2 linked regions of the Arabidopsis thaliana genome follow. The protein of the gene in region 1 interacts with the protein of each later gene in a pairwise test. Each region holds a gene or a part of one and is shown on either strand. Other genes may lie near its edges.

Evidence for each region. Proteins that work in one complex are often made in the same cells at the same time.
Region 2: the proteins of AT5G17210 (region 1) and NRAMP3 interact in a protein complementation assay, tested with the Arabidopsis thaliana proteins (one large-scale study listed by BioGRID).

What each region holds. Positions count from the first base shown.
Region 1 is NC_003076.8:5,654,052-5,660,050, reverse strand, and holds AT5G17210 (transmembrane protein, putative (DUF1218)), read right to left. Parts: upstream 3,704-5,999; 5' UTR 3,533-3,703; coding exon 3,437-3,532; exon of another isoform or gene 3,173-3,436; intron 2,709-3,172; coding exon 2,497-2,708; intron 2,403-2,496; coding exon 2,081-2,402; 3' UTR 1,858-2,080; downstream 1-1,857. Other genes in the region: PSY (PHYTOENE SYNTHASE), read left to right, coding at 42-212; GSTF12 (glutathione S-transferase phi 12), read right to left, coding at 729-1,177, 1,263-1,311, 1,377-1,523; AT5G17200 (Pectin lyase-like superfamily protein), read left to right, coding at 4,715-4,882, 4,975-5,109, 5,261-5,419, 5,523-5,812, 5,907-5,999.
Region 2 is NC_003071.7:9,854,476-9,861,556, reverse strand, and holds NRAMP3 (natural resistance-associated macrophage protein 3), read left to right. Parts: upstream 1-2,778; 5' UTR 2,779-2,991; coding exon 2,992-3,527; intron 3,528-3,968; coding exon 3,969-4,105; intron 4,106-4,197; coding exon 4,198-4,850; intron 4,851-4,931; coding exon 4,932-5,135; 3' UTR 5,136-5,408; downstream 5,409-7,081. UniProt on the Arabidopsis thaliana protein: Vacuolar metal transporter involved in intracellular metal homeostasis. Can transport iron (Fe), manganese (Mn) and cadmium (Cd). Regulates metal accumulation under Fe starvation.

The DNA.
Region 1 (5,999 bases):
GGATCGATTTTAACCCCGAGGACTTGGCTGCAATGTTTCAGGTATGGGCTTCATTGCTATTGTACAGGAGAATACTGGACGAGATTGAAGCGAATGATTACAACAATTTTACTAAGAGAGCTTATGTGGGGAAAGTCAAGAAAATTGCAGCTTTGCCATTGGCTTATGCTAAATCAGTACTAAAGACTTCAAGTTCAAGACTATCGATATGAGAGCGAGAGGAAAGTGGAACAAAAACAACCTAAGAGCGCTTTTTGTGATTAAGAAAAAACTTAGGCTCGAATTTATTATGTTAACTAATATATACATATTAATGGGGAAGCAAATTCTTATAATGTTACATTATCTTTCTGAATGTAAAAAAGTATTTTTTTTTTTAATTTTATTTTAGTTATAGTTCTCTTGGCCTAATGAGGGGATATACAATTTTTGGTTGATGAAATAATCTTGTGATATACATACAGAAAGAAGTTCTTCTTATATTCGAATAATAGTACAAGTGAGTAACCTTGTATACTATGTAAAAACTCCACTTCTATTTTAACCCCATTTTATATCTCACTCAAAAATAGAGTAAAAACTTAAGAATAGAGAACTATGGTCTTAGCATTGACATGAATCTTAAAAGTATATTGAATTTATTACTGAAACGTACAAAACAACACAAACATAAAACAGAAACTATAAAGCTTATTTGGTTCTTCAGATCATCATAAATTGGAGCTAATTCAGTGACCAGCCAGCACCATAAGCTTCTTCCAAGACGGTCTATCCGAAATCTCTTCCCACCACCGGTTAAAACTACCCCGAGCCTTAACCATCTGGTTTATATCGGTTATACTCATCAAGTACCCCATCGCCGGCATGTGCGTCAAATCAGCCATAGTGAATTCTTCACCAGCCAAAAACCGGTTCGAAGAAAGCCGGTTATTGTATATGTCCAAGACCACTCCTAGCTTCACTTTGAGATCCTCGACCAAAACGACGTCACATTTCTCGCCTAACCTAGGCTTGATGATTAGGTTAATCACGAGGGGTTGGGCCAGAACGTTGAAGTAATAGGTCTCCACGTCAGCCCACTGGTCCACGATGGCTCGGTGCTCTAGAGACTTGCCCAAAAGGTTCGTGCCTTGGTCCGCGAACTTGGTAGCGTAGTATCTCGCGATGGCTCGTGATTCTTAGAAGATAAAGAGCCAAATTTCAAAACACTATAAAGAAAATGATAGAAGAATGTTTATAAAATGTTGTTATTAGGATGTTACCAAAAAGCTTGAAATCTCCATCTTCTATGGCTGGAACTTGACCAAATGGCTACACATGAAAACAATAATTATAATATATTTATGTTTTAAGTTTAAGAAATTTGTTTTTTTTACCTGACGAAGAAGATGTTCTGGTTTTTTTTGCTCAAATGTATCAAGATCGATATGAATAATCTCAAATTCAATTCCTTTCTCGAGAAAACAAAGCAAGACTCTTTGTGGACAAGCTGCTGTTACCTGTCCATATAGTTTCACAACCATTCTATAAGTTTACAATAACTTTGTTACGAATAAGAAAGATTTTACTATATGCACTTATTAATATCTTGTCTATCAAACTGGTTTATAAATGAGAAGAAATGAGAGTAGATGTGTTGGCATTTTATTAGACTCAAGATTTGAAGAAACTGGTTGTTGTGAGGGTTGGGTAGAACATGTGGTGGTTGTTCCTCTAACGGTGGATATGTATCATTGAAATTTCTCTACAAACTTTTAGTTCCAACTATCAATAACAAAGTTCCCTTGTTTGGGAATAAAATTTCGATTACTATATATCGCTATCGAATTTTTGTTGTAAATGAGACGAACACTTCTCTTCCCAACAACCACTTTTGACTTGCATAATAAATAAGAAAGATTCAGAGAAAAAAACTACAAAACTAAGTGACGTTTTTGGGGTTCTCAAAGATTTCTACTTCAATCAAGAATAACAATCATTACAAAGTTTCAATACTCTTAATCAAACACATATCCGTTAATCATTTTGTCTAAATCTTCTACTAAACCTAACGTGCTTTACAAGCAAGCTTTGTCTGTTTTTAAGTGAACTGTCTTCTCATGTAAGTATCCTCATGAACAAAAACAGGATCTTCTACTCTCTCTGGAATCTGAGGCTGCCCCATTGCTATTCCTGTTCCTTGGGTCGTTGTGGCAGCAACAATTTGCTTATTTGAAGTCAAACATAAATAGTAGACAATCCCAAGGGCAATAGTAACAAGCGAAAGCACAGCACCGGTAGAGAAAACGCCTGGTTTCACTATGTAGCAAAAGTAGGTACCAGCATTCATTGATTCCTCGGTGTGTTCATCGTTGAGTGCAGCTCCAGAAAGCAGCACGAGGAAAGCTATTACAAAAGTGAACCTATAGTAACGCGAAATCACTCACTCACTAGTTGTAAGCAAATTATAAGTAGGAAACTTGAAGCAAGAAAAGGATTAGAAATGATGAGAATTACCAGGAAACAACAAAGCAGATTAAGGAGATAATCCAATTAGACCTTGAAGGAGCAGGACCTTTTCTACAACAGAAACAACCGCTTGAGACACTGACTATTATCTGAGCCATCATCAGAAAGAGAGCTGAAGTGAAGCCGAGATTGAAAGCTGGACTTCTTGGATAAGTGCATTTTGTGATTGAATCCGAAACGGTAACCGTGACCTGAGATCTCTGCATCGATTTTAAGATAAAAATGAAAAACAAAACCTTCAGAAAAAGTTTGAAACATTGCACAAATACACACCAAGAAAGTTTCTTAATAGACAGAGTAGTTCAAGAGAATAAAACTGATTCTACATACCCTGCAAATTCTATATGACTAATTGATTCTAAAAAAGATGATTCAACCGAATCGACCAATACATAAACCCCATTAAGAAAGGCTATAACTTTGGTTCAATAAATCCAAAAACACATATGTGAATTGTGAAAAGCTTGTGAATGAGACTTAGTTGAATTGGAATCTGACATTAAACATATCAATACATATGCAATTACCAAAACACACCAGAAAACAACTCTTTACCACACAGTCTCTCTACAAAAAAAATTACTATTAAACTTCTCAAAGATCTTCCAAATTTGAAATCAACAAGTTCTTCTATACAAAAACCACCGTGAATGGGGACCATTACTGTTTCATTGAAAAATTCCCAAACCAACGAGTTTCCCACCAATTATTATTCAACTCCCATCTCAAAGATTGAAGCTTTCATCTCAAACGCATTTTCAGGCAATGAATTTCAAAATCGACACATAAAAAGAAACGCAGACAAAACCCAAAAATCCTTTAGATAGAGTTTCAACAAACCATTGTGGCTGTAATAACCCAAAGATCATGAGAAAAACCACAAATTTCACTAAAAAACAGAAACCCTAAAAAGTGCTGAAGAAGAAACCTTGATTCGAGTAGCTTCAGCGACGAAGGCAGTAACAGCTGATAATAAACCAAGAAGAAATAAAACACCACACATCACAATCTTTCTCCTCTCCATCTCTGTCTCTCTCCCACCAACTCCGAAGATGCTGGCTTTTTTTTTTTAGTCTTTGTTTACTTTTTTTCTGCTTCTTCTTCGTTGGTAAGAAAATGGAAAGTTGGTGACAAACCCATTAAACACCGCACTCACTTTTAGTCGGCAAAGTACTCTACTCTCTCCTCCTTATTACATAGATCCACGCGTAATGGTACTTTCAAGTTTCAATAAAATGTATTTTCTCTGTTTTGGTTTGGTTTCTGATTTTGGTTTGATTTGTTCAATTCAGATCCGACCGGACCGGTTTGCTACTGAGGTATGCAAAGAAATTATTTAGAGAAAATTAATCTATTTAAAGTTTCCTCCATTTAACTAAATAAGAATAGCTTATTGGTTACATAGATTTTATTTTATTTAAGAGTTTCATCATTTATAAGACGAACACATTTTATCTGTTTCTTACTATAATTCAAAAATGAATAGAATGACAATATTCTTGACCAAAAATATAAAGAATGAAAATGAGAATTTTGTTCTATCATTTGTATTTTATTCGTCCATGAATTATTTATCTTTATTCATTTCAAATTTACTATTTATCTAATTAAAGAAATTAGATGGACTTATATTTGATAAAATTCTTATGAGGTTTCGTCATATTTACATTTTGGTTTAATCAATCTAAAGATTCTTGTGAATCAAAAAAGATTAGTGCCGCCTTGGATATATTCATCATATAAATGATTCAATCATAGGTCTCTCTTTCTCTCTTATGACATAAGTTAATGATGAATCTATTTTCTATCTTTAGATAAGCCATAATTAATTCATTCCTAGAATCAAGCATGTAAGCAATAGAAAGAATCAAGCATATAAGTAAACTTTCACTCTTATCGCTAAACAAAACGGTATAAAAATATATCGTTTGCGATTTGTTAAATACGTCAATAAGTTTGAATATTCCATAGTTATAAAGATTTCAATATCTCAATTATAGTCCATTATTAGTTTCCATGTTATAGCACACAAAATTAGTGATTAGCGATAATCTCTTACCATAGAAACACAAAATCAAACGCAATATCTTTCAATTAACCACCTTTCTTTATACAAACCTATATATACATTTAGAGATATATATAGATAGAAAACGTATTATCATCGAAATTCGTTCTCATCGTCAAGCATATGAGTCGTCCAAAAATGAAATCTTCGTTGTTCTTTGTCTTGTTATGTTTGTTTCAAATAAACAAATTATGTTTCTGCTTAGAAGAAGAATCTCTAAAGGTTAAAAACGGATTTGGAAGCAATGGATTCATAAGTGTCACTAGTTTCGGAGCTATTGGCGATGGAAAGACTGATGATACTAAGGTGTTTATTTATAGAATCATCACTATTTGTATCAAAGTGGTATGTATAACCTTTGTTTTAATGTATGTGTTATGTGTATCAATATATTTCAGGCTTTTCTTAAAGCATGGGAAGCTGTATGCAAAGGAGGACACAATAGAAAGATTCTTGTGCCTCAAGGGAAAACCTTCATGCTTAAGCCTCTTACATTCATCGGTCCATGCAAGTCTTCGACCATCTCCTTATCGGTATATATATACTTGTCTCTTTCTCTTGTTTCAAATTATATTGGAAAATCCAGCCCTAATGTGAATGATTTCAATAGTGATCGATTTTAGCTTATGAGTAGACAATAACTCGAACCAATGTTTAAATAATTTGGTGATTTATTTACATTAGATAAGAGGTAATCTTGTGGCACCGGGTTACACTTGGTATGCGGGAAGATACACAACATGGATTAGTTTTGACAGTATCAATGGTCTTGTTGTCACCGGAGGTGGTACCATCGACGGTCGTGGTTCTTTGTGGTGGGGCAACGTTAATAATCGCCCCTGCGTAAGTCCATTTGCAAGATCCTCACAACCATAAATATGAACTTCGATCAAATATTTATTCTCAGTTATTAATGATGTTTCTTTTTCTTCCTTGCTTTTCTTAGGCAATGCACTTCAACAACTGTAATGGTCTTAGGATATCTAATCTCCGACATTTGAACAGCCCTCGGAACCATGTAGGTCTAAGTTGTTCACAGAACATCGAGGTCAGGGGTTTAAGGATGACAGCACCCGGTGATAGTCCAAACACGGATGGTATTGACATATCGAACTGTATAGGAGTCCACATACATGACTCAGTGATTGCCACTGGAGATGACTGCATCGCCATTAATAGCGGTTCCTCTCATATCAACATAACCGGCATTTTTTGTGGCCCCGGTCACGGTATCAGGTGATTCCTAAAATCACAGATTCACAAACAATCATCATATAATATACAGCAAGGTACATGCTAAATCATTTATAGTATGGATTTGATATTATAGCGTAGGAAGTCTTGGAGTAACTGGAGATTTCGAAACTGTTGAAGAAGTGAGGGTAAAGAACTGCACTTTTACAAAAACACAGAACGGTGTCCG
Region 2 (7,081 bases), on another chromosome or scaffold:
TTTCAAAATTAAAAAGTGTTTTTCAGAGGGGCCATATTAAACATGTTTTGGTTCGTGCGTGGATACATGCTTTTTCATAGCTTTTGATTCCGATTTTTGAAACACAAAGCGAACCTCAGACGAAGTTTCTATATAATCTAATTCTACATACATGGTTACACATATCATGTTATGTTTTTTGTCAAATTATTTTAAAGTTAAACTGAGTCTGAATTGATGTATATACATCTTCACGGATGATTCGACAATGTGATGTTTCCTATGTCCATTATACTCCATATACATCGTACATACATCTTCACGGATAAATATCAAATTTATTTGCTTCTTCAAGCAAGCGTATATGTTTTTTCATACTTCCAAAAGTGTTCTTGTTTTTTAGTAAATGGAGTTTTACGTTTTTAGAGATTCATATTTCTTCTGCGCTGAAAAGTGAAACATAAGATAGGATAATATCTTCGCGCAGCCTGGGAAATGTAGATTGCTCTTTGAAAGTTGTGCCATCTGTTTTTCTTTTGGTCGTCTGCCATTCATTCTAAATAAAGCCCATTACATATACATGTATTTATTCAAAAAAAAAAATACTCAAAATGGTCCGTAAAAATAGAGAAAAAAATACGAACAACTATGTCAACTAAATATTTCGAGAGAAAAAATTATGTTGTTATCATTTTCCAAAAAAAAATAACCCGGAAACATCAACAAATAAAATGAGCAGACTTCTTTAAAATGAGATGATAAACACGTAATAATCTTTTAGAATTTGTTTTTTTGAATTTAATGCAAAATTATATTCAAAAGAAAAAAATACTGTTTGGTACATAGAAATGCATACTTTTTTATGGAAATCAAGTAAAGATTATCTATCCTTGACTTTTTAATTTTTATCTTTGATTTCTACTTGTTGTTTAATATAGTGAACCTATATAAAAGTTTGCGTTGTTTAGAATTCTGATGAATTGGTAAAGATAACAAACTACACGGGCATGTTCACCTCTTTTCACAATGCATTTTGATGAGCATGCAAACATTAACTATACATATCTATATATACATTTTTGCAGCCATTTTGTGAAATAAATCTTGTAGTTGAAACTTATTTACAATGGTTGCCACTGGATTTTAATATTTGTTTTTGATAATTAGAAAAAAAAATTTCGAATTAAATATTTGATATTTAACAATTTCCCTAAAATCTCTCTACATTAACTACACGATTGGTTACTAAAATAAAACTTTCAAAATATTTAATATCATTTAATTACTACAAAATTATCATTATTGATATTGTTTTTCTGCATGACTATTACAATTCAATTATAATCATCAAACCGTAGAGATATTTGATAGCATTTAATTACTAGATAATTTTAAAAATAAATGATTCATAAACATATGATAAATAAGATCAACATTAATAAAATAAAACGGGACGGGTTGGCGGAACGGGTTTGGCAGGACGTTACTTAATAACAATTCTTAACTAGAAAATAAAAATATTTTATAGATAGTTACATAGATAGTTACAAATTGTAAACTTTTATATATACTAATTTTAAAGTATAAATTGTCTCCGCGGTATACCGCGGGTGAAAATCTAGTATATACATATTTTAATAAGATATCTTTTATTATCATTTAATGAAAACATTAAATATGTACTTGTTTTTTGTTTCTCTTATAATTCAGGTACTTTGAACAATTAAATAGATAATTTAGCACAAAAGGTATACTATATCCATATAACATTATATTTGTAATCTATGTGCCATCCATTTCTAAACTTTGTAACTTTAACATAGTTGTTGACAATAGAAGTTGCACTAAAAGATTGTTTTTTATAATTATGTGTAAAGAATAATTTACAAAAAATTGGTGAAAGGATGGATATCTTTTGCAAATTTACCAAGAAAAAAAAAAGAAGAGAATATCGGAGGTGAGAGACGTGTATCCACGAGCCAACCATGTTTAATATCAGGCTTGGTTCCCACTATTGCATGACATGGCATCATCCCCATGGTTCTTTCGATCTCGCCAGGTCATCAACCTAAGTGGACCATTTATTTCGCATGATACACACCACCTGTTTATTTCTTTATTTGCTTTTTTATTCCCTATACATGCTTTTTGATTTTGATATATACTGTTCGAGGAAACAATACTCCTAAATAGTATAGAAATATTTTAAGAAGACAGAAATATAAATAATTATATTAAAAATCTTAACATTAGTTACAATATATTAATAAATTCAACAAACAGTTTATATATAGTTTATTCATGTTTGAAGCAAAACAAAGTTTAAAAACAAATATTTTCGCATGTTACTTTATCACAAAAAATGATCTAATTATACTAAAAATGATAAATTTATCGAATCTATTTAATATTTTGAAAAGGATTCTATTTACACTATACATATCTATGGACTACGATAGACATTTTTATTTTTAACACACGAGGCCACAAACGAAGGTATACGTGATGCATGAACACTGTGAAGTGTGAAGCTTCCTATATAATCTACATGTTGATGAACGCTCGATAAAATTATAAACCTAATTATTAGTCCAAAGAAATTCTACAAAAATTCTCTATTTAAAAAAAAAAAGATAGTGAAAAAATGTGTCCGTAAGTAAATAAGCGAATTAAATGTAAAATCTGTCCCAGAAAAACAAACAAAACTAAACTAGAAAAGAGAAATTTGAATTTACTTTTCCAAATTCCATTTACACATCAAAATTTTATTTATTTGTTTATGAGTGATTATCCGAATTACCTCCACCAAATAAAACCCTATCTTATTTCCCCCTAAATTATTAGAAAAATATAAAGTGATTAAGATTCTTTTGAAAGTTTGTGTTTATACTTTATCTTGTACTAAGAGAAACAGAACTTCCCTATAAAAAGCAAAAGCAAGTAAGAATAACGTGTTAAACTAAAACCTCGAAAACAACAAAACCCGAAACTGAAACAGAGAATCCAAAAAAAATGCCACAACTCGAGAACAACGAGCCACTTCTAATCAACGAGGAAGAAGAAGAAGAAACAGCGTACGATGAAACAGAGAAGGTACATATCGTAAGAAACGAAGAGGAGGACGATCTAGAACACGGCGTCGGATGCGGCGGCGCACCACCGTTCTCATGGAAGAAGCTATGGTTATTCACCGGACCTGGGTTTTTAATGAGCATTGCGTTTTTAGATCCAGGGAATCTCGAAGGAGATCTTCAAGCCGGTGCGGTTGCTGGGTACTCTTTGTTATGGCTTCTCATGTGGGCAACAGCAATGGGTCTTTTGGTTCAGCTTTTGTCGGCTAGGCTTGGTGTTGCGACAGGTCGTCACTTAGCTGAGCTTTGTCGTGATGAGTATCCTACTTGGGCAAGAATGGTTTTGTGGGTTATGGCTGAATTGGCTTTGATTGGATCTGATATTCAAGAAGTTATTGGTAGTGCTATTGCTATCAAGATTTTGAGTAATGGGATTTTGCCTCTTTGGGCTGGTGTTGTTATTACTGCTCTTGATTGGTAAATTCTCAATTTTTAGACATGTGTCTTCTTGTGTTATTGTTTCATTTGTCTGTGTTTGGTCCCAGTTTTGTCTTTTTGGTTTATGGTTCTAATAGCAGTTTAGCTAATCTAATCTATGGATTGTTTGAATTTGGTGTTAGTTAACCATTAGCTGTGTTAATTTCATCTTTACACATGAATTTTTGTCACTATGTGCTCATTTGGTCATTGATTCATATGTGTGTTTTGCTCAAAGTTTTGGTCTTTTTGTTGGAATCAGGAAACTCTAGTGAGTGTTTATGGTTCTAATTGTAATTTAGCTAATCTATTCTATGGATTGCTCAAATTATTATGTGTTAATTGATTAGCTGTGTTAATGTCTCGTGGAATTTCATCTTTCGGTGTGAGTTTTTGGTGTTATGTATCTCATTGATTCATATGTATGTGTTTTGGTCACAGTTTCGTCTTCTTGTTTCTTGAGAACTACGGAATAAGGAAGCTCGAGGCTGTGTTTGCAGTTCTTATCGCTACAATGGGAGTCTCATTCGCTTGGATGTTTGGTCAAGCTAAGCCAAGTGGCTCTGAGCTTCTCATTGGTTAGGCTTTCTTTCTTCTCTTTATCATTTTCTTAATGGAACAGTCTTTTAACTTTTTAAGTTCTGAAGAAGTTAGATTTCTCTTGTTGCAGGGATTTTGGTACCGAAACTGAGTTCAAGAACGATACAGAAAGCAGTTGGAGTTGTGGGTTGCATTATAATGCCACACAATGTGTTTCTTCACTCAGCTCTTGTTCAATCTAGAGAAGTCGATAAACGACAGAAATACCGAGTCCAAGAAGCGCTAAACTACTACACAATAGAATCCACAATTGCTCTTTTCATCTCCTTTTTGATCAATCTGTTTGTCACAACTGTTTTCGCCAAAGGGTTTTATAATACTGACCTCGCCAATAGCATCGGTTTGGTTAACGCGGGACAGTATCTTCAGGAGAAATATGGAGGCGGTGTGTTCCCGATACTATACATTTGGGCGATCGGGCTATTAGCTGCTGGCCAAAGCAGCACTATTACCGGTACATATGCGGGACAGTTCATAATGGGCGGGTTTCTTAATTTCAAAATGAAGAAATGGTTGAGAGCTTTGATCACACGAAGCTGCGCTATCATTCCAACTATTATCGTTGCGCTAGTGTTTGATTCATCGGAAGCTACACTCGATGTCTTAAACGAGTGGCTTAACGTGCTTCAGTCCATTCAAATCCCCTTTGCACTCATTCCCTTACTTTGTTTGGTCTCCAAGGAACAAATCATGGGTAGCTTCAAGATTGGTCCTTTGTACAAGGTTTGTCAATTTCGTTCAAACTCTTTTACTAACATTCTTTAAAGATCGCTTTATTAAGCTCGATCTCACCTTGTTGTGCAGACAATCGCGTGGCTTGTTGCTGCGCTCGTGATAATGATCAACGGTTATCTTTTGTTGGAGTTCTTCTCCAATGAGGTTAGTGGCATAGTCTATACCGGTTTTGTGACACTGTTCACAGCTTCTTATGGTGCATTCATCCTCTACCTCATTGCTCGTGGCATCACTTTCACTCCTTGGCCGTTCAAAGCGGAGTCTAGTCATTGAGACTGGACCAAACAAGACAGTGTAAGCGTAGTAGCTATGTCTTGTAATCCTTAGGATCATGAGTTCTTAGCTTTCTCTCTTGTATTATATGTGTTGTTGTTATAAAGCAGCTCTGGTTTTGTTGAAGAAGGCTCTTCTATGTATCAGTAGTTAGGTCCCAGAGACGAGAATTAATAAGAATATGTTCACATCTAAACCAATGTTGACACAGATCAAAAGAAACTTTGGGGAACATTCCCAAAAGTGTACATTTAATCGTCCGATCAGAGTTTCACAGTTTCAAGGATTCTCAAATACTTTAAAGTACATATTGTGGATATAGTCAGGGCAAATTCGATACACAAGGTAAAATGATGGAACCAAAATTTCCATAGATAAACACAAAATCTACTTGTTCTAATATGGTATATTATTAAGGGCTTTGTCCCGATCTATTACATTGGCATCTATGTTTTTGTTAATGTATTTTGGGAAGTGCAGTCTTGCTCATCTTGGCATTCATTGCCTCTTTGTCTTCCCTCTTGTTTGGAGTGGTTTGTTTTGGGTACAAACCAACGTCCCACATTTGAAGTTTAGAAAATAGTTTCCCATATATAAGCAAGTTCAACTTCAACTAGTAAGAGACATTTTGGGAAGGAGATCAATAACAAATCCTTGCGGATTTGAGCATGTAGATTCAAAAAGGACAATATTATACTAAAGGGGAGTTGGAATGGGCTTGGAAAGCCTAATAAATGGTGTTGAACGTGGGTTGAAAAAAATGGACCTAGGGCTTGGACTGTATAATCGGTGTGGGAGAAGCCTACCATGTAACACGATAAGAAGGATACCTCAAGAGAACCTCACAAATAAGAAGGTGTCGAGTCATGGTCCCAAGGTTTCTCTGAAGGGGACGCCCATGTTCGTGGTCCTTGGTTTGAAGGGGAGATTGTTGGGTACAAACCAACGTCCCACATCTGAAGTTTAGAAAATAAGTTTCTAATATATAAGCCAAGTCCAACTCCAACTAGTAAGAGATCTTTTGGGAAGGATCCCAATAACAAATCCTTGCAGGTTTGAGCATGTAGACCCAAAGAAAACAATATCATAGTAAATGGGAGTTGAAATGGGCTTGGGAAGCCCAATAGTTTGCGGATTGCACTGGATGCAGTCTCTCATGAAGTCATTGGGATCGACTTGTTTCAATCTCGCTTAGCTTCCTTTGTGTTGTATCTTGCATTTATCCCTAGTTTATCTTCTTTTGAAATATTGTTAGGCATTTCTTGCCTTGTTACCTTATATTTTCCCTTTATTTGGATTGTATTTGCTCCTCTTTTGACTGAGTCTGAGACTTAATTTGAATGAAAATTATGGACCAAACAAAACACACAAAATCTACTAAGATAAGTGAGGTGAATTAGCCAAGAGATAAATCCATAGATATTGGCATGTTTTATGTATATATATATATATGTCTGATTACATATATGGAAGAACAAATATTACTTAGGGGATTTTGGAAAAATGTATTTTGATACAAACTTATCTTACAGTATAACCGTTTATATGTTCAAATATTTATAATATTATAAACGTTTTCTTAATTTTAAATATATGAATTATAATGTTTATAACTCTTTAAAACCTTAGAAATGGAGATGGTACATATCCTAAAAATCTTTACATCAATCGAATTTTCAGACAATCATGGCCTTTATGGCCTTTCATTTGAAAAAACTTGTTTATATGTATTTGAACTATATTATGTGGGAATGTTTATTAACAAACCATTGTGAGTTTATATCAACAATTTATTTTGTAAAAGTAAATATATAAAATGTGTTTATTAATGTAAAACTTAATACATTGACAAAAGAGTAAAAGTTAATAAAATCTAAGCAAACGCAAAATATCAAATCTAAGAGCCTTTTAAATTTCTTTCAATCATATTTATATTAAAACAAAAT